Linked DNA regions of Caenorhabditis elegans. The protein of the gene in region 3 purifies or fractionates together with the protein of the main gene of each other region. This does not show direct contact. Each region holds a gene or a part of one and is shown on either strand. Other genes may lie near its edges.

The links.
Region 1: the proteins of gtf-2F2 (region 3) and F15B9.8 fractionate together in Caenorhabditis elegans (co-fractionation; one large-scale study listed by BioGRID). This does not show direct contact.
Region 2: the proteins of gtf-2F2 (region 3) and xpb-1 fractionate together in Caenorhabditis elegans (co-fractionation; one large-scale study listed by BioGRID). This does not show direct contact.
Region 4: the proteins of gtf-2F2 (region 3) and fcp-1 fractionate together in Caenorhabditis elegans (co-fractionation; one large-scale study listed by BioGRID). This does not show direct contact.

The regions. Positions count from the first base shown.
Region 1 is NC_003283.11:12,984,758-12,992,696, forward strand, and holds F15B9.8 (Beta/gamma crystallin 'Greek key' domain-containing protein), read left to right. Parts: upstream 1-3,798; 5' UTR 3,799-3,803; coding exon 3,804-3,881; intron 3,882-3,931; coding exon 3,932-4,016; intron 4,017-5,419; coding exon 5,420-5,536; intron 5,537-6,824; coding exon 6,825-6,955; intron 6,956-7,191; coding exon 7,192-7,287; 3' UTR 7,288-7,427; downstream 7,428-7,939.
Region 2 is NC_003281.10:11,524,136-11,530,871, forward strand, and holds the start of xpb-1 (General transcription and DNA repair factor IIH helicase/translocase subunit XPB), read left to right. Parts: upstream 1-2,521; 5' UTR 2,522-2,546; coding exon 2,547-2,649; intron 2,650-2,703; coding exon 2,704-2,804; intron 2,805-3,157; coding exon 3,158-3,268; intron 3,269-4,153; coding exon 4,154-5,083; intron 5,084-6,736. Other genes in the region: Y66D12A.16 (Spen family transcriptional repressor), read left to right, coding at 269-407, 464-739, 2,160-2,326.
Region 3 is NC_003283.11:18,991,002-18,999,477, reverse strand, and holds gtf-2F2 (General transcription factor IIF subunit 2), read right to left. Parts: upstream 5,539-8,476; 5' UTR 5,535-5,538; coding exon 5,388-5,534; intron 4,582-5,387; coding exon 4,094-4,581; intron 1,526-4,093; coding exon 1,369-1,525; 3' UTR 1,278-1,368; downstream 1-1,277. Other genes in the region: tgt-2 (Queuine tRNA-ribosyltransferase accessory subunit 2), read right to left, coding at 599-1,132; Y39B6A.37 (Structural protein), read right to left, coding at 6,011-6,407, 8,073-8,476.
Region 4 is NC_003279.8:9,002,883-9,011,200, forward strand, and holds fcp-1 (RNA polymerase II subunit A C-terminal domain phosphatase), read right to left. Parts: upstream 5,827-8,318; coding exon 5,629-5,826; intron 5,584-5,628; coding exon 5,407-5,583; intron 5,056-5,406; coding exon 4,927-5,055; intron 4,456-4,926; coding exon 4,213-4,455; intron 3,798-4,212; coding exon 3,510-3,797; intron 3,421-3,509; coding exon 3,233-3,420; intron 3,189-3,232; coding exon 2,717-3,188; intron 2,673-2,716; coding exon 2,544-2,672; intron 2,276-2,543; coding exon 2,120-2,275; 3' UTR 1,631-2,119; downstream 1-1,630. Other genes in the region: syx-7 (t-SNARE coiled-coil homology domain-containing protein), read right to left, coding at 1-38, 721-798, 846-925, 982-1,057; rbpl-1 (E3 ubiquitin-protein ligase RBBP6), read right to left, coding at 6,378-6,458, 6,504-6,569, 6,639-7,064, 7,185-8,151, 8,198-8,318. UniProt on the Caenorhabditis elegans protein: During the late stages of oogenesis, dephosphorylates 'Ser-5' of the heptad repeats YSPTSPS in the C-terminal domain of the largest RNA polymerase II subunit ama-1.

The DNA.
Region 1 (7,939 bases), 6.0 Mb from region 3:
GAGAGAAGGAAGAAGTGAAGCGGAAGACTACGAAACAATCAGTGAAAGATTTTGGTTGGAAAAGAGCTTCACAAGGGCTTACTCATCACTTATGCAGCTACCATTTCCTTGGGAAAACAGCGAGGTTTCAAACTCAGAATTTTAAATTTGATGACCTTGAGAAAAGGACACACTTACCGGTTTTAAATCTGCAGTTGCTAAATGTACAGAGGACTTGCAAACCAAAAATTGTGAACTCTAATTTCTGTTTGTTTTTTTCGTTTTCGAAATTTTTTAATACTTCGAACTTTTTGAAGATTGCTTACCTGCGAGTTTTTATCATGCTTTTCAAGTTTGCCGCTTGAAGTGATATGACAAAGAAAAACGTTGCAGGCTGGGTTACGCGCGATTTAAATTTCAGCTGTCATTCTTAAACTTTACATATTCTGGCAAGGTATTTATATATTAAAAGACCAATTCGCCTAATTCTACTTGAGAGTATTCACTGTGGAGCTACAAAAAAATTCCAAAAGTAAATAAAGTTGTCGAAAAACGGTTTTTAAAAATTTGCAAAGAGATTCATTTGAATCTGTTTATGTTGTTCAGAAATATCCGAATCTTTAAAACAACTTTTCTCAAATTAAAAAACAAATGATTGTTTTTTCCCTTGCAAAATTGCAACAATGAACGCCATTACGTGACTTTTTGCGAAGAAACATGACTTTTTGCTAATTCACATAAAAATTTCAATGAATATTTTCTAGTTTAAAAAATAATCGTATCTTGCAAGGTTTTATCAGGCTATATTATAACAATTATGATTTCTCTTTCAAATCTTGATATTAAAGTTCTTGTCAGCAATCATCACAACATATTATAGTTACAATAATCAATTGATCATGCATTAAAAAACTCACCTCCTTATTTTTTTCCAATTTTAACAATAGTTTTGGAAAAGGAGACCAGCAAATTGGTTCGGTTGGCGCCGAAAAAACAAAGGCAGAGTTAGCGTTGGAACGTGTCAATTGTGTGTGCAGAGAGTATGAATATCGGAACCAAATAATAACAAATTCAATTGCTTGGCACCACAACCATGACGTGTAGAATAGGTTTTAGTTGTTGAGACGAGAAGAAGCACCGAACGAACGATTTTGCATATTTGACCTTGTTACCTCTCCTTATGGGAAAAGGAAATTCAATGAGTGGGACAACAAGTAGGGAATAAAAGAGCTCCCGATTTCATGAATAAAACCGAACAGAATGTGACAAATTGTAGGTCTCACGGAGTCGAACGGAAAACAGGAAAGAGCGCGAATATAGGCGTGCAAAGATTTCAGAGATGCATTACGTTTTCCGCCGTTTCATTAAACGAATGGGAGTCAAAAACTGAAAGATTGGTATCATCTCATCGATGAAATTGACAGAAAATATTCCACACGAGTAAGCTTCCCAAAACTAGAAATAGTTACTATATTTTACATTCTGATAATAGATTTTCCAATTAAAATTTTAATAATTTATTCTTTATTGATTACATTACTCAAAAACATAATTATCCCCGACCACGAGAGCTTTTTAAAACTTTGACCAAGCCGGACTGCTTATCAACTGCCGACCGGCAATTCTACAAAATCAGCTAGTGATGCTCTCTCTTTAATTAAAATTAGTAGTTTTAAAAGAAAGAAAAAATGTTTTCACCATCTGAAAATAACGTTTGTTTGATTTGGAACAACTGAAAAAGAACTCAAAAAACTAAGTAAGTAGGTTTTTTCCTGCAATTTTCAGCTTTTACACAATTTTGAGCACTTCTTCAGTTGTTTCAAATGAAACAAACTATATTTTCAGATAACGAAACAATTGTTTATACCTATGTTGTACTTTTTTGATTTTTTTACCAATAGGAATGCGTAAAGCATTTTTTTAAAGAAAAAGTCAGTCTAAAATCACAAAAAATTGAAAACTTCAATGAGGAATGATCTTTCGAATTTTATGAATTTTATGTTCGTTGATGTTTTCTTCTCAAAACTGATTTCTTAACTGTCTTATGTTCAAATCGAACACATCCAGACGTGTTCCTTATTCAACTAATCGTCATTATCCAGTTTCAGCAATGAAGTGTAATAGAGGGTGAAAAAGGCAACATCTTCGACCCGGTTATCATCATCAGCAACCCTCTTGTTTCTTTATCACCTCTATTTCTTCATTTGCCAGTGTAATGCACTTTTTCATCGATGGGCCACCGCCGACGGATCACGGCATCCGTGGCATGCATTCCTATCTCTTCAAGGATTCCCTTCCTCTTTCCACCCGCCAATAATCAACAACTTAATTTCTATTCAGACCGTACCTGTTGTTCACCTCATCCCGATTGATCTTGTCGCCAATTATCATTTTGTTTAGTTGTGTGTTGGGGAGATGGCTATACCTGAGAATTTGAATATTATGAGGGCAATGATAACGAAGAAAGGAACACATATGGAAAAAGATATAAAATACATTGAATATGGGAGGAGGAATAATTATAATAGACGAAGATTGCATCGAGGTCTTGAAATTTTGATTTTAGTTATTCAAATTTCAAAATAACAGCCATCATTTTGTCGGTTTTTCTAAGAAATGGTCTACATAGTTAAAGGTCTATTGTTTAAATAAACATTGATACTCATTTTTAATTTAATATACAAAAGTTGGAGTTTCAAAATTACAAGATTAAACAGTGGACATGGACGAAAATTGCAATCCGTGCTCATTACACTTGAAAAGCTTTTTTGAAACTTATATTAGTAAAAAGCTAGGTCCCGTACACCATTTGTAGGTGCAAATTATCTCAACTCAAATCAATCACAGGGAAAATCTTTTCGTACAGACATGAATTTTGTTCATTAAATTTGAGCCTACACCCTTTTTCTGATTGTAGCTCCCAAATGACGTGTGTGAACAAATTAAACCCTAGAACTCTGTACCATATTAGTTACAAAAAAATACTCGTTAGAATTGTCAATATGATTTTAGGCTTCTATTTGCTTCAAAAGGTCAAAATTCTATCACGTGCTTCTCAAGTCTGACCCAGAATATCTTAAAACTCTTGCTGATATCGTATCGTTTCCGCCTAGGTAAATCCACTCTCGATTTTTTATTCAAAGGATCACATCACAATGAAAAACCCTCGCACATTCTCAATATCCAATCATTAGACGGAAAAATGTGGAAAAATGCCGAAAAAATCCAGTTAGCCATGTAAATCGCGAAGGTTGATGATGCATCAAACAAGCGGACAACATTGCAAAAACTCGATTTTTTTCTCGCTTTTCCCTCAACCCATTTTATCGTTATCGACACCAGTCTCCTCATTGCGAGTGCCTCCGCCCTCCGGATGACTATTTCGGCCCCTTTCCCCCATCTTTTTGTCGACTATCCACAAATGTACAAATACATGAGATTAGATGCGTACCTTTCATCAAATTTATCCGTGATTATAACTTTTGTCGTTTTCTTTTTACTTTTTCTTATCACTTGTCCGTTCATGGAATTGGATATGAACGTACACATTTGTATTACGCAACAATATATTCTACATGTACCCGTTCCATAAGTGGTGATTATTTAGAGAAATTGTCTAGAATCTAGAACTATTAGTCACGCCTTACTGACCAGATTTAAGATACTAATGAATAAATGTGAAAGTGGTTTGATTTATTGGCATGTTTATGCCATTCACACGTCATTTCGATTTTCCCTATAAATTTGTATTCTTTTTACTATTTTCTCACATACTTATTTTTTGCTTATTTATATTTTCTGATTCCTACCCAATTTCAGAAGACATGAACCGGTGCATCTTGCTCGCTCTCTTACCCCTTATTTCAGCGATTCCAGTTGCTGTTAATATAGATGATCAAGACGTAAGTTTTTTGTTTTAGTGGTTGAAAAATAAATAGAGAATTAATTATAGGCAGTGAATTTGGGAGCTTACGATCGAGCACGATTTGATCTCGTAGAAAGTTTCCACCCTCTTCAGCCAGCTTCTGCAGTTACAAGTAAGTGAAATGTTTGCCTGGTGGAATCAATAGATATAAATTGTTTTACAATTATTTTTGAAAATAGATTATTGAAAGCATGGCACTAATGAAAAATTTAGTCTGCCGGCTGTGATAATTAATCACTTTACCGTATGCTGACACTGTAGGCAAACATTTTTACTTTCAATTTTTAGGAGAATGTCTCTAGAATACCTAGCGAGCTTTATGTAGGCACAAAATTTGTTTCTGTTTTTCAGGATAGGTTTATCACAAAATTTAAGGTATTCATTCATGTTGTTTAGTAACATTCGTTAGCGGCTAATTTTATTTTAGAAAAACTAGGAGAATGTAAAAAAACACAAAAACACCGGAAAATAAAAGATTAGGAAACTAACTTACTTACAAGGGGAATATGATATGAAATTGGCGCGGAGGGAAAGCTACTAGTTCTCAAATCATTTGAAAGTAACTCGACACCTACCTGAAGCTAAGGGACACGCTGGCTAATTGTGAACAAATATTGTTCAAAAAATTCAGTCTCATACAATTGTTTGTCAGCTTTTACTTGTTAAAAATATTGGCATGGGATTTAGTTTTCGGAGAAAGAAACACAAATAACCCATTTTGTTGAATCGTTTATTTAAGATGCCGAACACTTTTTGAAATCTTCGAGACTGTAATTATTTGATAATATGTAAACGGTCAAAATGTTTGATTTGGTTAAAAATGAACATTTTGGTGTTTATCTTAATTTTTATAAAGGCATATTATTTGCGACATATCTAGTTTTCTAATATTTCCAAGTTCCTGAAAAATGAACTGTTCTGAACGAAAAAATATTCTTAAAGGTAGATATATTGTTAAAAACAACTGCTATGATGCTAAAACGACCATTATAGCAAAACTTCCATATATCATATGAAAACTTTCCAAAAAATTTTTTTAAACATTTTTATTGACAGTCAAAAAGTGGTAATTAGTGAGTTTTCGCTACTTTTTGATAAAGTTTAAGCATTATCAAAATTTTGAATCCCTTCATTGCTTGGATATTAATATTTCAAACATAAGTAGACTGTATGTAGAATTCGAAGGAAAATTTTTGATTGACGAAATTCAAAAAACAAATGGCAAAAATTGAGATCTTCCCAATTTTTTAAAGTTTTTTGAATTTTTTATTATTATGATAGTTGATTATGGTGGTGCCACACTTCTCCATCTTTAAAATTTCAGTGCTGAACAATTCTTTAAAATTCACAGATTTCTCTAGAGTCTTTAGAGCAGAAAATAATTTGAGAAAGCACTGACGTATTATTGTCAAATGTTTGTCAATATTTTTACAGCCATAGAAAAATGTTTTAAAATCTTTAATAATGAAAAAATAAATAGTAAATTGATTTTATAAAATAGTGTGAAATTTTCAGACGATCAAATTGCTGAAGTGCGTGCCAAAGCAGCTGGTGTGAGGCAAAACGAAGCTTCAATTTCAATTGACTTGCCAACACAAATGCTTTCCGGGAGTTCGGGAAGAATTCCAGAAAGTAAGCCACTAATTGACATTTCTCTAACACGTGTGACCATATCGGAGAATAGAAAACAACAAAAATCAAGAATTATCACATAGCTGTGTGAGCTGCTCGGACATGGCTCCGTGAGAATAAGCGCGAAAGTCGTAGAAATAGACACGTTTTAACAAAATTACTCTATCGGTTAAAGAAAGCTTTGGAGCAGGGCGTCTAAACAAAGAAAGAAGGAATGGAGAAGAAGTAGGCGGCTTTGGAAAAATAATAGAGAAAAGGACGAATATTTTAAAATATTATGAGACAAACTAGGGGCGCAGGGGCAACATTCTGAATTTTTGATTGAAATTTGACGACTACTCGGAATTATCTATTAAATGATCTTCTATTAGTTATTTAAAGGATTAGTTGTTATTTTTGACATTAAAAAAAATAATCCAATTTTTAGTTTAAGAACTTGGAGAAGACTACAAGTCAAAAAAAATCGGGAAAGAATCTGCAGGGTGTGTCCTCACAGAAGATTGTTGTTAATTAGTAATCTTGAACTTTAAAATTTAAGGATTCAACCGAATCAATTTTGAAATTTTGAGACTTTTTGAAGATGGATTTTTTTGTAAGTTTGTATTATAAATCAGCAAAATCAGATTGGAAATATGTTGAAGTTTTTTTGCAACTATTTTAAAAAAATTTGAGTGGAAACTAACTGAAAAATAAGAAAAATAATTAAAGCTTATACTAATAAAAATAAAAAAAAAAAACCAAAACCTTATTTTCTGTTTAAAGTTTATCAAAATTAGGCGAATTTTATTGAATTTAGCCGAGAATTACAGACAAATTTAAAAATGAAATAATATTTTGAAACCTACTTTGGGTATTTTGAAGTTTTTATCCCAAAAAAAGAGACTTAATTTAACTTTAAGAAAAAATCACGATTTGAAATGGAATCAACGAACAGCTCTTTGGCTTCTCTATATTGAAAATTGTAGTTAACAATTTTCCGAAAACGGGATTCGTATTTATCAGAATCATATTTCTTATGATTTAGTATAATTTCTTGGAATTTACTATCAAGAAGAATACAAACACTTTATAAAATATTTATGACAGAACTGAAAGACGCATATAATATGAGATATAAAAAGAGCTAAACATGAAAGATGTATCCACTAGTAGCATCGTGTCTAATTCGATTCGATTTGCAAGTTTCAATATTTTGTTGTTGATTCCCTTGAGAGATTTGAGAGAGTCTATCACATTAGAACATTAATCTGTTCTTATCTCTTTTTCTCTTAAAATAATCACTTTTCAGGATTGGCGTTCGGAGAATGGACTGAGTGGACTTCATGGTCAATGTGCCAAAATGGAGAGAGATCAAGAGTTCGTACATGTGTTTCCAGAAAACCAGCTCTTCGTGTTGTATGCCACGGAGATGCTATTGAGGTGAGATTTTCCTTTTATATAAAATTATTCAGTGATAAGTTCATTGAAATTAGGTGGTTAACCAAAAAAGTTTTCCGCGGATCATATTTCTCCGAGTTTATACAATCTGAAGAGCAATTTTTGATGAGAAGCTTCATTTTTTTGTTGGTTTTTTGTAATAAATTTTTTTTGCAATAATTTAAAATCTGAATTATTTTCAACACGGAAGAAATTGATTTCAATTAATGTTTTTACAGATTGAGAAATGCTACGTTGACGCCGGAGAAGGTCATATTCCAGTTGCCGCCGACCCATGGTCCATCGAACGTGAGATTAGCGGAGATTTTGCCTAAATCCGAACAATTTCCGAAGAGAGGAGCACAGAGACCTCTTATTTAATAATTCATTCATTTTCTCACAGTCAGTTCTCGAATTGTATGCACTAATTGTTATTTTCGTTTTCCAATTCAATCTAATAATAATTTATTTATTTATTGTTTTTTTTTTTGACACTGCAAGAGAGGTCTCAAATGGGACCTACAGGAAAAATTGAATCGGTATTAATTTTTCAAATGCTCATTAATGGGAATAACACAATAATGACAATTATGAGAATTTTATTATTAATTTGAATTCACAAATTGTTATTGAAAATTTATAAGTTTTGTTGAAATATACTCACTATCAAAATAGTAAAAACAGAGAAAATTAAGGCATTTGTCATGTTTGAACCCCTAAAATGCTTAGGTACAATATTAGAACATGCTTCAACTATTTTTAAAAATTCAAAAATGTTCGAGCAGTTTTAATATTAAAAACAATGCAACATTAAGCAAATTTTTAGAATAATTTCTCCCCACTACTCCACGTTAAATTTAAAGTGAAATTTCAAAATTTGACTCAAATAAATGAAACTCCTACATTTAATTTTAGAAAGATCATAATTGTTTGAACGAAGTTCAAATTTTTCAAAACATTTATTTTCAAATTTCAGAAAATAATAAT
Region 2 (6,736 bases), on a different chromosome or scaffold from region 3:
TTTTCTCCGAAAAAAATACACTGAACAATAGGGAAAACGGAAATTTTCGACTTCAAAATAAAATAAAAACAAAACAAATTAAATTTTGTTTTCCGAGAGACCGCTCTTCAGCACACACATCGAGAGAGACGCAGAGAATCGGGTACGGTAGCGCGGTGGGTCTCGCCACGACATTTTTTGTCATTCAAATTTTTTTTTGTGTGTTTTAAAATTTTTTCATGCGCAAATCCACGCATTTCTCACTTTAAAACGCGTTTTTCAATAAAAAATGACTTCAATCGCCGTAGAAGAATTATTTGGAAGAAATTTAGAAACGAGCCGTGCACCGAATCCTTGGCCAGCGCCGAGCACACAAGAAACTGAGCCATTTGAAATGTTCGGTAAAGGAGCTGGATCCTTTTTTGACGGTATTTATTTGAAGCTAAAAATTTATTTTTTTAAATCTTTTTATTTCATTTTTCAGACAAGCCGTCCTCCGACTCGGAAGACCAAAAAGATGTGAAAAAAGCTAATCAAGCGGCCCGTGACTCGTATTATGGAGCCTATTCCTACGCAACTCAAGATTTCTCATCGTCACGTGGATTGTCGAGAGATATGGAGCAACTGAAGTCTCCCGCCAAATCTGAAAGTAATGGCACTTTGAGATCGGAGCATCAATGGCGTGATAAGAGACGAGAAAACCACCGACGTCCATTGAAGGAACACCATCGAAGAAACGAAACTCGCAGGGATTACAGATGTATGCGGCACCTCACGAACTCCAAAATTCGCGGGAATTCGTTTCGCGGGGACAGCAGTTTTTGGCTGTTTTTGGCTTCTATAGGAAATTATTTTTGATTTTTTGTTTTATAATATTCTTGAGAAGCATCATCCGAATTTAAAATGTGTGAAATTATGAAATTTGACCGAAAACTGAAGGTTTTACAGGAAGGATTCGCTACGGCTTTCTTTAAAATGTATCAGAATCGTCAGTTTTTCGATTTCAGTCGTAAAATATGCCATTTTGTAGAGAAAAGTCTGTTTCACAAAAATCCATGTTTGACATTTCAAAATTGTTTTTATTTAAAACCTGAAAAATCGAAAAAATAAGCTTTTAAAGGTGGAGTAGCGCCAGTGGGGAAATTGCTTTAAAACACGCATATGGTACCACAATGACCGAATATCATGATAAAAATTTTTTCTAGATTTTATATGATTTTTTGAAAATTGAAAAAATCTCAGTTTTGCCTAATTCCTATTTGAATTACCGCCAATTGGATTTGTTCGATGGAGCGCGCTTGCACGTTTTTATTTTTATTTATTGTTATTTTTTCTTATTTTTCACCGACTTTTCATGTTTTCAGTGTATTTTTGTCTGAAATTTGAAGAAAAAGTCAAAATAAATGCTATTTTTTGAAATTAATTAATTCGGGTTCGAAATCGCTTAAATGCATTTTTTTAATTTAACGCCTGTAAGCGTGCTGTTTAATCGAAAATTAGCATTTATTTTGACTTTTTCTTCAAATTTCAGACAAAAATACACTGAAAACATGAAAAGTCGGTGAAAAATAAGAAAAAATAACAATAAATAAAAATAAAAACGTGCAAGCGCGCTCCATCGAACAAATCCAATTGGCGGTAATTCAAATAGGAATTAGGCAAAACTGAGATTTTTTCAATTTTCAAAAAATCATATAAAATCTAGAAAAAATTTTTATCATGATATTCGGTCATTGTGGTACCATATGCGTGTTTTAAAGCAATTTCCCCACTGGCGCTACTCCACCTTTAAAAGCTTATTTTTTCGATTTTTCAGGTTTTAAATAAAAACAATTTTGAAATGTCAAACATGGATTTTTGTGAAACAGACTTTTCTCTACAAAATGGCATATTTTACGACTGAAATCGAAAAACTGACGATTCTGATACATTTTAAAGAAAGCCGTAGCGAATCCTTCCTGTAAAACCTTCAGTTTTCGGTCAAATTTCATAATTTCACACATTTTAAATTCGGATGATGCTTCTCAAGAATATTATAAAACAAAAAAATAAAAATAATTTCCTATAGAAGCCAAAAACTGCTGTCCCCGCGAAACGAGTTCCCGCGAATTCTGGAGTTCGTGAGGTGCCGCGAGAGATCGCGTTCTAATAATTATGAACAATTTTTTTGTTAATTTCAGCCATTTCAGCCGTCGAAACAGTCCACGAAACTATAAAAATCGAGTCTCGCCGCACCGTGGCCTGCGAAGGAAATGTCTATTTCGAAGAAACGAACGTCATTCAATTTCCCAAAAATCTGCCGCCCAACGTACACGTGATCACCGCCGCCCAATATGGATCGAATTAAATGTTTATTTATAAATATTCGTTTTTTTTTTTGTTTTTTGTTTTATTATGAAAGTCTAGTGAAAAGAACTAGCTGTTTTATAAATTTATATGTCTCCCCTCTGGCTCCTCTCCTGTGTCTGCATATTGTCGTGAATTTCGCTGTATTTGCGTACTTTTTCTCCCCCGGTTTTCTTCCTTTTTTTTCGTATTTTAGACGAATTTTCAATTTTCCAAAAGAAATGGCGACGAAAGAGCGAAAACGACGCGGAAAATGGGATACCTACAAAGCAGAAGAAGCTCCATCATTGTATTCTGGAAATGCTGACAAGGAAACTAGTTCTGGTAACGCGGGGCTCTTTTCCTGGAAATTTTCGAATTAAAAAATTAAATTTTTAGTTCCAAAAGCTGCCTCGCACAATTTGAACGGAGAAAATGCGTCGTCAGTGATGACTGATGAGTTTGGAGCCAAAGATTATCGAAAGGATATGCCATTGAAAGTATGGAGAAGCTCTAAAAATTCGAAAAAATGGTCTGACAAGCTTGAAAAACCCAGAAAAATGGCAATTTTTACAATTTTTTGGCAAAAAAACCCTAATTTTCATGATTTTTTCACCCAATTTTCAGTAAATTAACGATTTTTCCCCCGAAATATCGAAAATTTGGTTAATTTCCAGGGAAAATCGTAAAAATTACTTTATTCTAAAATAATTTCGGTCTGAAAAATGTAAAAAGTTACGAATTTTTGCTATTTTTTTTTGTTTTTTTCGGTCAAAAAATCGTTAAAAAACACTTTTTTTCGAGTTTTTCAACCCAAATTGGCAAATTTTAATTGAAAATTCACAATTTTCAGGGTGATTTCACTGCAAGACCGCTGTGGGTTGCTCCGGATGGTCATATTTTCCTCGAGTCGTTCAGCCCGGTTTACAAGCACGCCAGGGACTTTTTAATTGCAATTTCAGAGGTTATTAACGTCTTTTTTCAGTTAATTCTGAAAAAAATTCATTTAAAAAAATTTGATTCATCTGAAAAGATTTATTTGTAAAAATTATGTTTGGCCAATTTTTTTTTGATTTTTTAATTTTTTTTTCCGTAAAAAATTCCAAATTAGTGCTTTTCAGGTCAATTTTAGAGGTTCAGCACTTTTTTTTCATGGAAAATGACTGAAAATTTGAGCCTAAAATTAACAAATATTAAATTTTTCCAAAAAAAAAAAATCGAAATTCTGATTTTTCAATTTTTCGATTATCTCTTACACATATTGCCAGAATTGAAAATTTCCGACAAATCGTCAAAGTGTCGGGATTTAAATTTTCCGGCAAATCGGCAACTTGCCGGAATTGAAAATTTCCGGCAAATCGGCAAATTGCCGGTATTGAAAGTTTCCGGCAAATCTGCAAATTGCCAGAATTGAAAGTTTCCGGCAAATCGACAAATTGCCGGAGTTTAAAATTCCGGCAAATCGGCAAATTGCCGGATTTGAAATTTTCCGGCAAATCTGCAAATTGCCAGAATTGAAAGTTTCCGGCAAATCGACAAATTGGTGGAATTGAAATTTTCCGGCAAATCTGCAAATTGGTGGAATTGAAATTTTTTGGCAAATCGGCAAATTGCCGGAATTGAAAGTTTCCGGCAAATTGACAAATTGCCGGAGTTTAAAATTCCGGCAAATCGGCAAATTGCCGGAATTGAACGTGTCTTGTAAATAGCTGATTTGCCGAATTTGACATTTCCGGCAAATCGTCAAAGTGCCGGATTTAAAAAGTCCGGCAAATTGCAGAATTTATCGAGAAAAAAATTTGCCGAACTGCAATCGCCACCCATCCCTGCTACATATTCCAATTTTCAGCCCGTCTGCCGTCCACAACACATCCACGAATACCAGCTAACTGCCTATTCTCTCTACGCAGCTGTATCAGTTGGCCTACAAACAAAAGATATCATTGAATACCTGGAACGATTAAGTAAAAGTCAACTGCCAAAAGGAGTCATCACATTCGTTCAAATGTGCACTGTGAGCTACGGAAAGGTTAAGCTTGTGCTCAAGCATAACAGATACTTTGTCGAATCGCGACATTCCGATGTTATGCAGAAGCTTCTCAAGGACTCTGTGATCCAGTCGTGTATTCTAGATGATCGTGTGCAACCTGCTCAGCAAACCGAGCTTCCTGCACAGGAAAAAATCAAATTCTCACATGGAAATGAGAATGAGAAGGGTGTGGAAAAGGATGGAGCAGCAGCAGACGGTACGGCGGCGGCGGCGACAGATGGAAAAGTTCCAGCTGATATTGATGAATTCTACGGGAAAATCGATGGAGATGATGAGGAAGACGCAGAGATTCGAAATTTGCAACTTCTAACGTTTGAGATCAAACAAGAAACGATCGAAACAGTGCAAAAACGATGTATCGAGCTTGAGTATCCACTGCTCGCCGAGTACGACTTCAGAAATGACACTTTGAATCCGAACCTTGGAATTGATCTGAAACCATCGACTACACTTCGTCCGTACCAGGAGAAATCCCTACGGAAAATGTTTGGAAATAGTCGTGCGAGAAGTGGTGTGATTGTTCTGCCGTGTGGAGCCGGAAAGACGCTTGTCGGAGTGACTGCTGTGACGACGGTTAACAAGAGATGTTTAGTGTTGGCGAATTCCAATGTTTCTGTCGAACAGTGGAGGGCTCAGTTTAAGCTTTGGAGCACGATTCAGGATAAACAGCTTGTCAGGTTTACTAGAGAGGCGAAGGATCCAGCACCGTCGGGAGCCGATGCGACCAAGGTTGGAGTGGAAGGAGTGGAAAAATAATGAAGAATTTTAGAGGAAAATCTGAAAAAAATTGAAAAATTTTCGACTTTTAGATTTTCTGAAAAATCGAAAAATTAACCATAAAAAATAATTGATGAGAAAAAAATTAAAATTTTTTCAAAAAATGAAGAAAATTTCGAGCTAATTTTTGAAAAATCGAGAATTTTCGATTTTTCGATTTTTGAATAATCGGGAATTTTCGATTTTCAATTTTTTGAAAAATCGGGAATTTTCGATTTTTCAATTTTTTGAAAAATCGAGAATTTTCTATTTTTCGATTTTTTGAATAATCGGGAATTTTCGATTTTTCAATTTTTTGAAAAATCGAGAATTTTCGATTTTTCGATTTCAATTTTTTGAAAAATCGAAAAACCGACACCCTTGGTCAGAGTGCCTCATTTCGGTTTGGTCTACGTAGATCTACAAAAAATGCGGCAGAGTTCTCAACCGATTTCGCATGGTTAACAACGTGTGCTTACGTCACATTTTTTGGGCAAAAAATTCCCGCATTTTTTGTAGATCAAACCGTAATTGGACAGCCTGCCACCACGTGAAAATCGAAAAATTGGAAATCGAAAAAGGAAAATTTTTAGATTTTTTTTTTCCAAAAATCGAAAATTTTTGTTTTTCGATGTTTTTGAGAAAAATCGAAAAATTTGAAATCGAAAAACGAAAATTTTCGAATTTTTAAAAACCGAAAAACGAAAATTTTCGAATTTTTAAAAACCGAAAAACGAAAATTTTTAGATTTTTTTTTCCAAATATCGAAAATTTTTGTTTTTCGATTTTTTCGATGTTTTTGAGAAAAAATCGAAAAATTTGAAATCGAAAAACGATAAATTTTAGATTTTTTGATTTTCTGAAAAATCGAAAAAAAAAGTTCAGAAACTATAAAATATGATTTTTTTCAAAAATCTAATTTTGTTCTTTGATGAGAAAAATAATAAATATTTATTCTAAAAAATAAGAACAATGCCTAAAATTTCAAGCAATTTTTGAAAAATCAAAAAATTTCCGCTTTTCAACTATTTTGAAAAATCGAAAACCCGACATCTTTGATTCGGAAAATCACTACATCCTGAAAAATGCGTATTGCGCAACATATCCGACGCGCAAAATATCTCGTAGCGAAAAGAAAACTACAGTAATCTATTAAATGACTACTGTAGCCGTTTGTGTCGATTTACGGGCTTTTTGAAATTTAAAAAAAAATTTATTTATCAATAGAATATTTTTTAAAAAAATAAGAGAAAATAGTACAAAAAACTAAAATTATTAATCTCAAAAAAATCAAAGAGATGCCGTAAATCGACACAAACGCTACAGTGTGTCATTTAAAGGGTTACTGTAGTTTTCGCTACGAGATATAGTTATATTTTGCGCGTCAAATATGTTGTGCAATATGGATTTTTTTTGAATTTTGTGTGTTCCTGTAATACTTTAGACTATAAATTCAGCTAAAATCTCAAATTTTACCAATTTTTCAGTGTGAAATTTATTTAAATTCATTATTGTCGTAATTTGGATGTTTTTTTTTGTTGTAAATTTTGATGCCTATGAACGAAAAACCGCGTGATATTCACCAAAATATGCACGAAAATAAAATAATTCAATGAAAAACTAACG
Region 3 (8,476 bases):
AAACTTTCAAAAAAGCTGGAAAAAAGTCATTTTTCAGTTCAAAATCGAGAAAATTGTAGTTTGTAGCTTTAGCAGCGCCCAAAATTGAATTAGCAGCGCCCAAAAATTGTAGTTTGTAGTCTAAGCAGCGCCCAAAATTGAATTAGCAGCGCCCAAAATTGTGTAGTTTGTAGTCTTAGCAGCGCCCAAAATTGAATTAGCAGCGCCCAAAACTTGTAGTTTGTAGCTTTAGCAGCGCCCAAAATTGAATTAGCAGCGCCCAAAAATTGTAGTTTGTAGCTTTAGCAGCGCCCAAAATTGAATTAGCAGCGCCCAAAAAATTGTAGTTTGTAGTCTTAGCAGCGCCCAAAATTGAATTAACAGCGCCCAAAAATTGTAGTTTGTAGTCTAAGCAGCGCCCAAAATTGAATTAGCAGCGCCCAAAATTGTGTAGTTTGTAGTCTTAGCAGCGCCAAAATGAAAAAAATCCAGGTTTCAACCGATTTTCACCAAATTTTCACCAGTTTTTCACAAAAAAAGTCATTTTCATGCTAAAATGTAGCTTTTCATTCATTTTTTCCCCTGAAAAATTCAAATTTTTAATTGATTTTTTCGCTACCTGCTGAAACAGCTGCTCTTGGAAGGTTTTCGTCCTATCCACCGCCTTAACAAGCTTCTTCTGTCCAACATCTTTCGGTGTATCATAGTCGACAAGAGTCTCAATAGAGCCACAACCAAACGAGTTAATAATTTCCCGCCACATTTTAACATCCAACGAAACTTTTCCGTTTGCCGTCCAAATCGCGACGGATTTCGAGTCATTATACCCTCCGGGAAGCTTTCCAAGCGGGTCAAACGGTGTCAGGTGAACCGCCGCGCCTGCAGGCATCCCACAAAATTTCGCAGCGCCTTTTCCGAATTTCTCGATAATTTTCGCGTTTGACACCAGCGTTGGGAGCGTCATTTGAAAAATGTGGGTTTGTTCGAGTTTCAGCTGATTCTCAGCAACTTCCCATGTCAGGTGGGGAATATGTCCGGCTCGTAGGTAGGTTTGAAAGGATGGGGTCTGGTGGTTAACCTCCACGGAGCCCCATGTGTCGATTTTGCCCAAGCGGCCCAGAAGCGTCTTTTTTTCGATTTGAAATTTGACCATTCTGAAAAAAAAAGAAGTAAAAAATCAATTTTTTTTTCCTATTTTTCTCGAAAAAAAACGAAAAAAAATCTGATAATAAATAGAAAACTGGGCTAAATAACCCAAAATCAACGAAGAAATCCAAAAAAAAAAAAATTCAAAAATCCCCAATATTCACAAGTGTTCATCATGTTTTTAAAAAAGAAGAGATGTATAGTAAATAAATAATAATAATAATGTCCAAAAAAAAGTTGGAATTATTCCGATTGTGCGTTGACTTTGTAGTTACAGTATTCCGGTTTCAGGCACCACAGAGACTTGTGCGGTGGAGCAGTATTGTAGACGGCAATCTCTTGGAGCACTTCTTTGACGTAGCTGACCGGTTGTTGAAGGAGTTGCTGAAGATCTTGAAGTCTGAAATGCGAGAAATTGTAGTTTTTGTAGTCTAAGCAGCGGCCAGCCAAAAAATCCGAAATTTCATCGAAAATGCACAGAATTCTAAGAAGTTAGAAATTTTGGAGGAAACTAGTGTGTTTCTCGTTAAAAATTCCAAAAAATACACTAGAAATGTGTGATTTTTCATTATTTTCGCATATTTCGGCTTGAAAATCGGAAATTTCTAGCGAAAATGTGCGATTTTTGAAAAAACTTTGGAAATTTTGGCAAAAAAACGAGGTTTCATGTAGTTAGCAGCGCCCAAAAACTTGTAGTTTGTAGTCTAAGCAGCGCCCAAAACGTTGAAATGCAGTTTTTAATCGATTGATACCAAAATAACACCCAATTTTTACAGTTTTTTGTGTGTAGAATTTCCTAAAAAAACTCAACGAAAGGTGCAAAATACGTGGAATTTCGTCAATTTTTGCCTATTTTTTTCAGTTTTTCTTGGGAAAATCTGTAAAAATCCCTTTAAAAATGAGTAAAACGTAAAATTTTGACACTTTTTGAATGAAAATATAGATTTTCTTCCATTTTTAATTGAAAAATCGCCCAAAATTGCAAAAAATTCGGATCAGCAGCGCCCAAAACTTGTAGTTTGTAGTCTAAGCAGCGCCCAAAATGGAATTAGCAGCGCCCAAACTTGTAGTTTGTAGTCTAAGCAGCGCCCAAAATGTAAAAATTCGGATCTTGAACCGATTTTAACCGATTTCCGCCAATTTTTAATATTTTTCGGTGAGATTTTGTTTAAAAATCGGTGTTTTCTGCAGTTTTTTTTGGTGAAAAACCATGAACCTTCAAAAATGTAGATTTTTACTCATTTTTTCAACAGAAATTCAAATTCTCGGCATCAAAATTCATTGGCAGCGCCCAAAACTTGTAGTTTGTAGCTTTAGCAGTGCCCAAAATCTTCGAATTCAGATTTTATCCGATTTTTGCCATTTTTTTGTGGATTTCTGGCAAAATTTACTTTAAAAATCGGTTTCTATTCGAATTTCCAGAATTTTTACCAGTTTTTAATGAAATAAACTGTAGTTTTTGTTGTCTAAGCAGCGCCCAAAAATTCGTTATCAGCTCAAAATACTGCAAATTTCCAGTAGTTTTTTGTGGGAAAACCACATTAAAGGTGGTGTAGTCGACTTTTTTAATCGCCTTATTAGACTCAAAATTGTCTAAAAACACCGAATTTCATAATGAAACTTCTTGAAAACTTTTCAGAAAAGAGTTATGACGGCTCAAAAAATGGTCTAAAATTAGTTAAAATCGGAAATTTGACTTGTCAAGCGGCTCAAAACTATTTGTTTTTGAAATCACCGTCAAATTTTAAGTTCACAAGTTGATTATCTTGCGTTTTGAACTTGATTAAGGTATTTAAAAATCGATAGACGGCGAGTTTGGGTTTGAAAAAATTAAAAATCTCGCCGTCTATCGATTTTTAAATACCTTAATCAAGTTCAAAACGCAAGATGATCAACTTGTAAACTTAAAATTTGACGGTGATTTCAAAAAAAAATAGTTTTGAGCCGCTTGACAAGTCAAATTTCCGATTTTAACGAATTTTAGACCATTTTTTGAGCCGTCATAACTCTTTTCTGAAAAGATTTCAAGAAGTTTCATTATGAAATTCGGTGTTTTTAGACAATTTTGAGTCTAATAAGGCGATAAAAATAATTCGACTACACCATTATTAAAACTTTCAAAAAATTCACTGCAACTTTTTCCTCACGAGGGACGAGGAAAAGTGGTTTCTAGGCCATGGCCGAGGGGCCGACAAGTTTCAGCGGCCATTTATCTTGCTTTGTTTTCCGCCTGTTTTCTTTCGTTTTTCACAGCCTTTTCCCGTTTTTTCTTAATAAAACTGATAAATAAATACTTTTTGCAGATGCTAAAACAATTTCCAAGTAAAAAAATTATGTATTCAGTCGGCAAGCAGTGGTGAAAATGGTCAATGTAAAATGATGGATTACGGGAATACAAAACCTAAACTTTTTCTGAAACATGATACATATGATGCTTAGATGCTGAAATTACCTGATTTTCATAACGAAACCGCTGAAAAAGTTTTAGGGTTTTCAAAATTCAACTTTTTTGGTGAAAAAGTCGAGATTTTCGCACAAAAAGTTGAATTTTGGAAACCTCAAAACTTTTTCAGCGGTCTCGTTATGAAAATCAGGTAGCTTCAGCATCTAAGCAGCATATGTATAATGTTTAAGAAAAAGTTTAGGTTTTGTATTCCCGTAATCCATCATATTACAATGCCCACTTTCACCGCTGCTTGCCCACTGAATACACTTTTTTTTACTTGGAAATCGTTTTGGCATCTGCAAAAAATATTTATTTATCAGTTTTATTAAGAAAAAACGAAAAAAATCGATGAAAAACGAAAGAAAACAGGCGGAAAACAAAGCAAGATAAATGGCCGCTGAAATTTGTCTTCCCCTCGGCCATGGCCTAGAAACCACTTTTCCTCGTCCCTCGTGAGGAAAAAGTTGCAGTGAAAAAGGCCAAAACAACACAAATTTTCCGTAGTTTTCTCGAGTATTTTACCTATAAAAACTATGCTTCTCAAAAGCTTTGAAAAGAGCTCCACGGAGCACATCTCTATCAGCTCGATAAGTTTTAGCTCCATCCTTCTTCTGTTTGCTCTTAATCATATCTTCAGCATGTACAGACACGGGCTTAAACTTCACAGCCGCTTTTTCAATCATTTTAACCGTTTTCTTTGGTTGAGTATTTTTCACAATATGTGCCAACTTCATTTTCATATATTTCGACGTGGCCGGTGGCCGACATTCCGCTTTTTTGATAATTCGTCCCTCAATTGCCAGTTTTCCAGTTTTGATTGGAGCATCTGCACCGAGTCCCTGCTTATCTTCGGATAAAACGCTCATTGTTTGAGATTTGACGTCATGAAGAATAAATGAGTATTCTGTTGGAATTTCCGAGGCTTCTGGTTGGGTTACTGTAGATGATGAGCCCTCTGTGGGCTCTTTTGGTTTGGGATGAATGAGACCTTTGGCGGTGTGAAGCTCGACCTGAAATTTAAATTTTTAAACCAAAAATTCAGTTTTCGGAGAAAAATGTCCTAATTTAAGCATTTTTCCCGTGAAAAAACTCTAAAAATGAGCATTTTTCACTGTAAAACTAGCGTTTTAACTTGAAAAATCGATTTTCAACCGAAAAACAATTAATTCCACTGAAAATTTCATTGAAAAATCGATTTTCTAAGCTTCTGGTGTATTTTTTTTTTCAATTTTTTCAGAAAATTTCATTTTTCGGTGAGAAATTCAGGCTTTTTTGATCAAAATTGAATTTTTAGCAGAAAATTTCAAATTTTGAGTTTAAAAAAGCAGTTAAAATTTAATTTTCTTAAAATAATTTCGAATTTTTCCGCATTTTCAGTAGAATTTCGAATTTCTTGGTTCTTCTTCAGTGCATTTTTATGTAAAACACAGAAAAATTGGTTAAATGTCAAATTTTCAGTGGAATTATCCAGTTTTTCCGGCAAAAAATCGATTTTTGTCAATTTTTGAGACAAAAATTCAGATTTTCGAGGAAAAATGTCATTAAATTGAAAATTAAATGCCGTTTTCCACATTTTTCAGATTTTTTTCATTTGAAAACCTGAGGTATTTTTCTGTCCAAAAAACGACGGTTCTACCTTATTTTTGAATTTTTTCCCAAATTTCATATCTTTTATGATTTAATCGATGTTTTTTCCTTTGAAAATCACATTTTTGACCAGAATTTCAGATTTTTCCGATTTTCCACACTATTTTTGGGCCAAAAACTTCATTTTCAGCATTTTCAACAGGATTTTCAATATTTTTTCCAATTTTACCTGCGCTCCAATCTGCAATTTTCCAACAACATTTCCCTCGTTGGCATCCCAGAGCTCTGACAAATATCTGGGCACTTTTACAAGCCAAATGCTCCGTTTTGCCAGCTCACAGTCGACGTCATTCGAATATCGCTTCGTTGGGCTCATTTTCCTGGAGAATCGAGAGTTTTACAGGGGAAAATAGGTGGAAAAGCGATGAAATCGAGGAAGAAATGAAAGAATTGAGAAAAAATCGATAAATTTGCAAAAAAAAAATCAATTAATTTTTAAAAAAAATCGATAAATTTTCAGAAAAATCGATAAACTTCCAGAAAACTCGATAAATTTGCAGAAAAATCGATAAATTTGCAGAAAAATCAATTAAATGAGAGAAAAATCGATAAAGTTCCAGAAAAGTCAATAAAATTGCAGAAAATTCGACAAATTTCCAGAAAATCGATAAATTTGCAGAAAAATCGATAAATTTGCAGAAAAATCGATAGCTTCGAGGAAAAAACAATAAAATCCTGAAAAATAAAGCGAAAATCAATATTTCTCGGGCTAAAAACCCTCAATTTTTAACAAAAATTTCAGCAAAAACCCGGCAAACAAGTGATTTTTATTGGATTTTCAGCACACAGTTTTCAGACTCGTTGTCTAACAAATTCCAATATTTTCGAATCGCTGACACCCTCCCAGCCGGGCGGTGTAGGCAACTGAAAATTCGCCATTGCAGCGGATATCTGTGCCAATTTGTCACCATCAAGCGGTATTGTCATCGATTTTTCCTCGGAAATTTCCAGTTTTTCCACATCATTTTTTCTCACAAAATCATCCGGAGATATCACGAAATTGCACCATAATCCAGAGCTCGTGGTGACGTCATCAAAGTTATCGGTGGTGATGACGTCATCCTCATCTTCTGACGTGGTGGCACATGGAACATTTCCATCACCAATGATTTGATAACCTTGTGGAAATTCATCGTCGGTTTCAGAGCATTTTGTGGTGGTGGTGGCTACTCCGAAGCGCTGTGTTGTGCTGAAAATTTTAATTTTGGGAATTTTTAACCGAAAAATGCAGAATTTCCGCATAATTTTGAGCTAAAATTTGGAAATTTCGGTCTAAAATCTTATTTATCAAGCATTTTAGTGTAAATTTCATTCTTTTTTTTCGCACTTCTTAAGCTGAAAACCCCGGATTTTTGTCGGAAAACGGAATTTTTGGAGCAAAATGTCCCGATTGCTAGTGTTTTTTCTGAAATTTATCGATTTTTCGTATATTTTTGAGCTCAAATTTCAATGAGAAAATGTCTTTTTAAGATCTTTTTATGGGATTTCATAGATTTCAGTGCGAAAATTGCAATTTTTGAGGAGAAAATTGGAGATTTTCAGTTTTCGGCGATACTTTTCAGAAAAAAAAACTGATTTTTCCCTTGAGCAGCGCCCAAAAGTTGTAGTTTGTAGTTTAGCAGCGCCCAAAATTGAATTAGCAGCGCCCAAAACTTGTAGTTTGTAGTGTTAGCAGCGCCCAAAACTTGTAGTTTGTAGTTTAGCAGCGCCCAAAACTTGTAGTTTGTAGTCTAAGCAGCGCCCAAAATTGAATTAGCAGCGCCCAAAACTTGTAGTTTGTAGTCTAAGCAGCGCCCAAAATTGAATTAGCAGCGCCCAAAACTTGTAGTTTGTAGTCTAAGCAGCGCCCAAAATTGAATTAGCAGCGCCCAAAAGTTGTAGTTTGTAGTGTTAGCAGCGCCCAAAACTTGTAGTTTGTAGTCTAAGCAGCGCCCAAAATTGAATTAGCAGCGCCCAAAACTTGTAGTTTGTAGTCTAAGCAGCGCCCAAAAGTTGTAGTTTGTAGTTTAGCAGCGCCCAAAATTTGTAGTTTGTAGTGTTAGCAGCGCCCAAAACTTGTAATTTGTAGTCTAAGCAGCGCCCAAAACTTGTAGTTTGTAGTCTAAGCAGCGCCCAAAATTGAATTAGCAGCGCCCAAAAGTTGTAGTTTGTAGTTTAGCAGCGCCCAAAATTGAATTAGCAGCGCCCAAAAGTTGTAGTTTGTAGTGTTAGCAGCGCCCAAAACTTGTAGTTTGTAGTTTAGCAGCGCGTAAAATTGAATTAGCAGCGCCCAAAAGTTGTAGTTTGTAGTTTAGCAGCGCCCAAAATTGAATTAGCAGCGCCCAAAAGTTGTAGTTTGTAGTGTTAGCAGCGCCCAAAACTTGTAGTTTGTAGTTTAGCAGCGCGTAAAATTGAATTAGCAGCGCCCAAAAGTTGTAGTTTGTAGTTTAGCAGCGCCCAAAACTTGTAGTTTGTAGTCTAAGCAGCGCCCAAAATTGAATTAGCAGCGCCCAAAACTTGTAGTTTGTAGTCTAAGCAGCGCCCAAAATTTGTAGTTTGTAGTGTTAGCAGCGCCCAAAACTTGTAGTTTGTAGTCTAAGCAGCGCCCAAAACTTGTAGTTTGTATTCTAAGCAGCGCCCAAAATTGAATTAGCAGCGCCCAAAACTTGTAGTTTGTAGTTTAGCAGCGCCCAAAATCACATTTTCGCTCAAAATTAACCAAAATTGCCGGTTTTTTCGCATTTTTCGACGGAATTTTCTGTTTAATTCGTTAAAATTTGGGAATTTTTATGATTTTTCAGCGGAAATCGCTTGAGCAGCGCCCAAAACTTGTAGTTTGTAGTTTCCACGTGGGGCTCAATTCCTCGAAACTTACACAAATTCGCCAGTTTTGAAGCTTTTCGTGTCATTTTTATCGTGAAATTCGACATTTGTGGGTTTCAGCGCCTTATCAACATAAAATTCACTGTCCAATCCATACAAAAGCTGTCCTTTATCACTAATATCATCACTTTCTCGCCGTTCCAGCAGCTCTTGCGGTGCTTCATCATCATCATCATCAGTCGGTGGATCCGAATCGAATCCGCTGCTTTCCCCGCCGCCGGCTTCTCGATTTTCAGCCGGCGGTAGATCACCGGATTCACTGCTCGCCGAGCTGTCTGGAGCCCCCCCGGCGGCCGAAATTCCGACGCCATTGTACTCGACGCCATATCCAACGTACCAGCCGTCTTCTAAATTCGAATTATCAATCGAAAAAGTGTCGATTTGAAGGATTTCGCA
Region 4 (8,318 bases), on a different chromosome or scaffold from region 3:
TCATTTTGAAGACGCTCTCGGACTCCTCGTAAGTTCTTCTGAAATATTTTAATGTTGTTGATAATACTATAATAAAATATTCCTTCAAAGACATCTCTCCCAAACGTGTATTTCCTATTTTCATATGAATATCAATACAAAATGAGTTTGAAATCAATTTTCAGAAAATTTAAATTTCGGATTTAAAAATTGATTTATGAGGTTATTCAAGTAGAGTCGGAAAATTGTAGACAAATGGCGCCACAACTGTAATCAAATACATACAAAAACATGTATTTTAATATAGTTGTGACGTCATTTTCTACACTTTTTAATTTTCCGATACTACTTGAATAGGCCACTTATTATCAAAATATATAAACTGTCATGTGAAACGTGGCTTATTTTTTATTTTGTTTTTTATTTAAGCTCCTCCCATTTTTTTAAAATGAACTAATAAATACAAACTTTAACGAAAGGTCAGGAATGGGAGGAGCTTGAATAAAAAACAAAATAAAAAATAAGCCACTTTACACATGCCAGTTTATATATTTTGATAATAAGATTATTTCAAATTATTTTTTTAAGTTTTTTTTATTTAACAAAAATCGTGTGATTTTATGATTTATTTTTGAATGTTATAAAATTTTAAAACCTTAGGATAATTTTTTTAAAATATAAATTCATTGAAAAATTTTGCCTTCACCAAAGTTTAATATAAAAATTTATACTGAAACTCACATCAGAGTTGCTCATCACAACTAATCTTTTCAGCAGGGCATTGGTTTCCTTCGAGAGTTCCTGAGCATTATGAGCTTTCTGAAATATTTTAATGTAATATTAATTAATAGAGAGTAATAACTAACGCGATTGAAAAGCTCCCGTTCTCTTTGTCCTGATTCACTGCTATCTGATAGATTTGTGATAAAGGATTCCAATTGAATAACTGAAACGAAATTTAGTGTACAACGTGTTTTTTTTAATAAAAAATTTCGTGCAAACCTTGTTGATTTAAATTCTGAATATTGAGTTGAAGCTGACTGGCTGTCTCATTGCCGGCATCTCGATTGAAATCCATTCTGGCTTTGAGATAGGCTTCAAACTGAAAAGATTCTTGACAATGAGTAAATCGATAAAAACCGCTGAAAATACATACAAAAAAGGCGCTTAGTGCGCGTGTGTGCAAAAATGCTCTATAGACAAAAAATGCGAGAAAATATTTCTTTTCAAAAGAGAAAAGTAAATACTTTTTTCATAAACTTTCACTGCAATGGTAAATAAACTAGTCACTAAAAGGAAATGAAATAAGTTTTTTCAATAGCTAATCACTCTACCAATTTTTTTCAAAACTTTTTGCGAATATATAGCTTTTAATAACTTTTAATAATAAGGAAATAGTAAAAGATCGATAAAAATCCAGTTCGGCAAAACGTGTTGTTGAAACGATTGATTGTGTAATATAAGACCACATTGAATTGTATACAAATTGTAAATTATTGATTTTTGTGGAAATGTAAACATTGTACTACATTTGTTACATGAAACTTTTTTTGGTCTCGCGTAACAAATACTATACATTAATCCTATAATTCGAAAAAAATAAATCATACTTCCGAATCAAACGGCATTGCGAAAGCGTCAGCAAGAAAAATAGAAATGAATCTCATTCATTTTCAGAAAAAAATAATAACGATCAACGTGAAACGAGAGAAGAAATGAGACAATGACGCGATTTAGAAAAAAAAATTAATTCGATAAAATGAAAATAGAGGTATTTAAGTAAGCAATCGAAAGATGAATAACTCCATAGTGACAGACTTTTCTTGAATTTACAATCAAAAGGCAAAAGATAAGTGAATAAAAAGCAATCTATATTCCAAACCGTGAACGTTTATATATGACAAAAATGCAGGCTTCTAGTGAAGTTTTGATTGATTTGATGAAAATCACTCTGATCAAGCAGCCGACATTAATTGTCAGATTATTCCCATTTAAATGGAGGTAAATAGTACAGAAAACATTGAGTATCGAATCAAATGGGGAACGGGGGTGATAATTATGAGATGTAAAAGATGGGAAACAACTGAAAGAATAATAGGAAATGAAAACAATAATAGCACATGATGATTTCACAGAAAACTCATTGATCTTTTTCATCTACTGCATCGCTAATCTGACGTTCGATCAATGCAGCCATATCCTCGAACTCATCGTCATCATCAGATTCCGGTACTTCCTCATCTTCATTGTCTTCGTCATCTTCTTCTTCATCTATATTAGCTGGTGCGTGGCCTTTCTGTAAAAGTCTTTTTTTTTCAAAACACTTTTGATCTCCCAAGCAGGAATAATGATTCACGTGTTTCTTTGAATTTTTGTTTAATATCGATAAAATGTCGTATTTTTCGATAAATTCTAGACACTGGAACGATTTGGATTGATATTTTTAAGCTCAAGAAGCCAAAATTTAACTTTTTTCAAAAAATTCACTACTATTAATTTTAGCCACTATAAATTCAAAACTTTCCGTTTTATTTTCAATTTTTTATACTTGCCGCCCTTTTTACCTCATCATCAACATCAAATACTGCATCATCCTCGTTTTCTGGAACAATTCGACCTTTTTTGCGTGAATCTGACAAAAGTGCTTTGTACGACATAGGGGTATCGTCATCCTCATTATCAGAATCTGATTCCTGAAATAAATATTATTGGAATAAATTATTTTCAAGTTTCTTACCTCTTCCTCGTCCTCCATTTCAGGACAATGCTTTCTTTTCTGTCCCCTTGATGTAGAATCTGTCTCGTTTTCCAAAGCATCTCCTGATTGATTCTCAACAGATCCATTCTGCTCAACATCATCCATTTCTTCTTCATTTTTCTCTTGTTTCTCTTCTAAATTTTCATCTCCCTTATCTTCTCCAACATCATTCCCATCATCATCCTCATCCTCATTGTCTCCATCGTCTTCATCATCCGATAGAGCTTCATCTACTTCATTATTCATATCAGCTAACGCGGCTTTCCCAATTGTGTCCATATTTGCCAAATCATTGACATACTTTGATCCAAGTGGACGTCCAACTGGAGGAGTACTTTCTTTTGTTAGTTGAAACAGATTTTCATCTGCTTTAAGCCACTTTTCGACACAAGCATATACCCATTGAACTGTGACCACAAACTTATTGAGACGATTGGCTTGATAAACTTTTCTGAAAATAAAAGAATTTTAAAATGCTAAAATGATAAAACTAACTGTGTTCCATATCTTGCTCCAACAACATGAGTAACATCATCAGTCACATCTGGTACAATAACTGCTCCAAATTGAGTACACAAACGATAAATATCAGTTCTTTCAAGCTTTTCACCCATTGGTACGATTCCCGAAAAAACAATGACACATCCATCAAGAACTTTGTGTCGTTCCTCTTTGATCACTTCCTGAAAATCAACTTCTAGAAGTCCAAAAGACTTAAATATTCAACTTAGAATAATAATTCAATAACTAAATATTTAAAATGAAAATTTACCTTTACATCAAGCAACACTTCCTCGGATCCTCTTAAATCGTGCTTTTCATAATATTTATCATGAATATTCGTTAAAACTCGCTCAATTTCTTCAAGAACCTTATCCTCATGAGCATCATCTTCAATTTGAACTGGCATTTGTTCTTTTGAGTTTTTTGGAGCATTAATGTCGCCGACTTCTTTGAAGAATCGATAAGGTTTGATTTGAATAAGTGCTTCAGAATACATCCAGACATCTGATCGATCATCAATAATCACTACAAGATTGTCGCCACATGGGAATAGAGCCTGAATAAAAATTGTTGTGTTTAACACTTATTCTATGATGTTAAAAAAAAACCAAATTTCATGGTAACACTTTTTAAAAATTTGAAATTTTCATTAACAGTCGAAAAATTGATGAAAACTCATTTTTCATTCATCACAATTCTGATCGATTAATATTTTCTACGAGTTTCATGTTTTCAGGGCTGAAGATTTCTTGTTTTTCGCTTTAAAAAAAATGGTGTTTTTTTTTGACAAAAAATGTACTTTCCGTTTTTTTATATTAAAGAGCAAAAAAACGAAGAATTTGTAAAAAACTTTTAAATGACTTTAAAATTATAGTTTTTAGTTTTTCGCTTTTTTCGTGATTTTTGCGAATTTTGGGCAAACTCCATTGGAGTTTGAAATTATTTTTATTTTTAATTTTTAAAAATTATACCTTCAAATTATTGGTCTTGTGTTGAGCCGAGAATAGTTCATCTCGAGACAAAATGCGTTGTTCAAAGAGTCGAGCATCTGGATCAAGAATCTGAGCAATACGATGAGCATATTGACGTTGTCCATAGGTAACAATGTGCATTTCATACATATTTGACATTTTATTCAAGAATTCTGTTGTATGTGGTCGGAGTTTAGTGGTATAAACACGAGAGTGAAGGTTATATTTGGTGATGTCTTTGTGCTGAAATTTATAGAAAATATATGAGTATTCCTATCAAGAGTGACAATTTTTCGATAATTTTAGAAAATCAAAAAACACAATTTTTTTGTACCAAAATTAAATTAGAAAAAAGGTTTCTCGGAAAATAATTTAAAGTTTTTGTCGATTTTTCTTATTACGATAAGAAAATTATGCTTTTCTAACTTTATCATTTACATAGAAGCTCGATGAGAAATTTTTTTTGAAATCTTTATTAATTTTCTGAAAAGTGTTTTTTTTTTCGAAAAATGGCTTTACATTTTGGCCATTTTTTTTCTAGAAGAAAATTATATGGTTGTTTGAAATTATTTGTTTTCATCGACACGACCAAAATTCGTTAAATTTGTGTTTTAATTTTTTGCTAATTTTCGGAACATTTTTTTTCAATTTTTCAGTTTTCTCTGAGAAAAACTGAAAAAAAACTTTTTTTTCGTCAAAACTATTGATTCTTACATTTTCAGTATCCACAGTCATTGGTTTGTCGGAAGTGTGAATAATTGTCTGATCCAAATCAACAAGCAATACGAGTTTTCTATTGGTGATCAGATTGTTTTCATCGGCTGATCCAATCTCTTTTGCTAGCTGAAAAAAAAGTTTTTTATCGAAATATTATTTGCCTAGTAGGCGAATTTTTGAGCCAAAAATGCGGTTCACGGTCTCAACACGACAATTTTTGATAAATGCAAAAATATGTTCGTCTTTAAAAAGAACTGTAATATTATGGGATTTTCATGAAGTTTTCTATTTTTCTCAAAATCGTATACTTTACTTAAAAATAGTTTAAACTTGCTTTATTTTAAAGTTTTAATTAACTTTCGAAAAACGATGAAAATTCTGCATTAGCTATTTAAAGGCGCACAACGTTTTGCGAGACCGGTTACCGTATTTTTATTGAAAAAATCGCCGCATCCGGGTAATAAAAATGATGCTAACCGTATCCGACACAATAAGTTCTGGAACATGATGAATCATAGATACATTAGCCGTTGATTGTTCCTTTCTCTGACCGGCTCGTCCTCCCTTTTCACGTAGATCTTTACCACATGTTGCACACATATCTTTGATAACAATTGCATGAGTACATTCGGATACTGTAGCAATCACTTGACCCTGAAAATGAAAACAGTTTCAATTGAATAAATAATTTCAATTTACCTTATTCAATACGATTCCTGGTTTAAGACCTTTTCCAAAAGTAACTACACCCTCACATGGTGTCTTTATCTTTCCCGCCACTTTTCCGTTGATTTTGAATTCTATCAGAACGTGATCTTTCAATACAAAACTTCCTTCACTGGCCTTTTTCAGGCCAGCTGTGCACTCGGCATCGTTTCCTTCAAATTTAATATCCATCTGGAAAAGAATATTTATATCTTTTCAATTAAGATATCAAATTCGACTGTTATTGAATTATTAAATGTTATTTAAAAGTAAAATTTTTCAACAATTTTGTGTTCATCATCTAAAATACATATGTACGCATTCTCTCCAAAACTTTTTTTTCAATTTTCGATTTTATTACCAAAAGGTTAATTTCGGCGCTTTTTTTGAAATCGAATCTGTAAAATTAGCCATTCTGATATTATTTGCGGCAAATTCAGGACCGAGAAATTTTGGGATAAAAATAAGAAAAAAGGTAAAAATAGAGTAAAAATAAAACGGAATTTTTATTCCAACAGGAACAAGAAAAGTGAAAAAAAAACAGAATAATTCCACAGATGGGACGAAAAATGAATAAAAATGGAAGCGTTTTTAGAAAAAAAAAATAATGGTGAAAAAAGAGAATCAAAGTCACAGTAGATGTGGTTCCCTCTAAGAAGAACTAGAAAAATAGGGGGGAATATGAGAAAAACGAATAATAGGATGGAACATAATTAATAACTCAAATATAGATACAAAAATGATTACAAAAGATCAAATTTAATCTTGGTACTCTTGTGTTTGACATCTACACTCTCCTTTGGAACTTTTCGAGACGAAGATTTCTGAAATATCTAAGATTAAAATTCTTCAAAAACAACAAAAATTACCTTCTCCTTTTCCCCAATGCTCTCCACGTCAGTTTCGTCCTTCTTCCGGCGATCCCGCTTCGACCGCTAAAATTTTTAAATTATATATTTTTTGATTAATTGAATTTTAGTGAAATATTTGTGAATAAAACGTACTTCTTCATCTTCTTGTTCCTTGGTTGATGATGAGGACGAGTATTGACGAACTCTGATGTTTGTCGTTGGTTTGCTCGAAGCAACAGTAAACGAGACAGGTTTTCGTTCAAGTGATGGAGCAGTAGTAGTTCTAGAGCTTGAAGAAGTGGATGAGTCAGCTTTCTGCATACGCTCATGAACCGATTTTCGTGGTTTCTCAGACTCTTTCTCAACGATTTTCCGCTTCTCTTTGCGATCCTTCTCGTGTTCCTTTTCCACTTCCTTCTCGCGTTGTTTCTCTTTTTCATTATCCCGATCACTCTCCTTTCTTTTACTCTTCTCCTTTTCATAGTCATCCTTCCTGCGTTCCCTGTCCCGTTCATAATCTTTCCGATCGTCACGCTTCTTGTCTTCACGCTTCACCTTTGTCTTGGGGGCCTGCAATTTCTATAAAAATTTGTTCATTTTTCCTAAACCCGGAAGATGATTTCTGATTGCTAAATTTTTCCTCAAAACAATCAACAATTAAAACAACTAATCTAAAAATAAGAATAAACCAAAACTTACATCACTGTCATATGCCTCGGTCTCTCGATCTCGCTTTCTCTCTTTCTTTCTATCTTGCTCATCAATTTTTTGAGAATCTCTTTCATGCCGACGTTCCTTACGATCATCCTCATCATCATGTCTACGGTCTTTCCTGTCTCTCCGATCGGATTCCTTAGGAAGCTCCTCTTTTCTATCCTCGAAGATGTCCTCTTCATCCTCATTCCATTTTCCTTTCTTCTTTTCTTTTTTGTCAGCAAAATTTTTGTCCAACTCCACTTTGTCCTCATCATCTAGAGATCTTGGCTCTTTTCTATTAGAATCCTCATCTTTATCATCCTGATACTTTCTTTCCTTCTTTTTTTCTTTCTTTTCGGTATCAAGATCATCCTCATCCTCATCTCTCTTCTCCTTCTTTGACTTTTTCTCTTTTTTGTGCTTCTTGTGCTTCTTCCGTTTTCGTTCCTCATCCTCATCACCGTCTTCCTCTTTCCGATGATGTTTCTTGTTCTTTTTACTTTTTTTGTGTTTCTTCATTTTCTTGGAACTTTCGTCATCTTCATCTGCTGTATTAATAGTAGACGATTGTGATTCTTTCTCTTTTTTGTGATCTTCCACATCTTCATCGTGATTTTCAGGTTCCTCATCTTCCTCAACTGGTACTGATTCCTCTTTTGTCTCCGCCACTTCAGCTTCACTCGTCTCCATTGCTTGATATACGGGATCAATTGACTTGTCACGTACAACTACTTCTGTGTCCATTTCTTCGTCAACTGGTTCCTCGTCAGCATCTTCCTCGTGAGTTTCATCAGGTTTTGGAGACACGCTCTCTTCTTTCGGAGAAGTTGAATCTTCATCGTTCTGTGCATTCTCATCAGCAACTTGTGCATCTCCATCTGTGTCTTGTGCCTGGACGTTACCATATTCAGCAATGATACCGTCGATGTCGATCTCATCTTCGTCCTTCGACTCAGCATCCTTGGTTTTTCTGAAAATTTTCATGTAGAAAGGAGGAAACTTTAAATTCAACTTACTGATCATCATCTTCTTCCTCTCTTTTCTCTCGCCTTTCTTTTTTCCTTACATCATCACGCCTTCTATCCTTTCTTCTAGCGTCGTCACGATCTCTACGATGTGATGAAGACGCTTTTATAT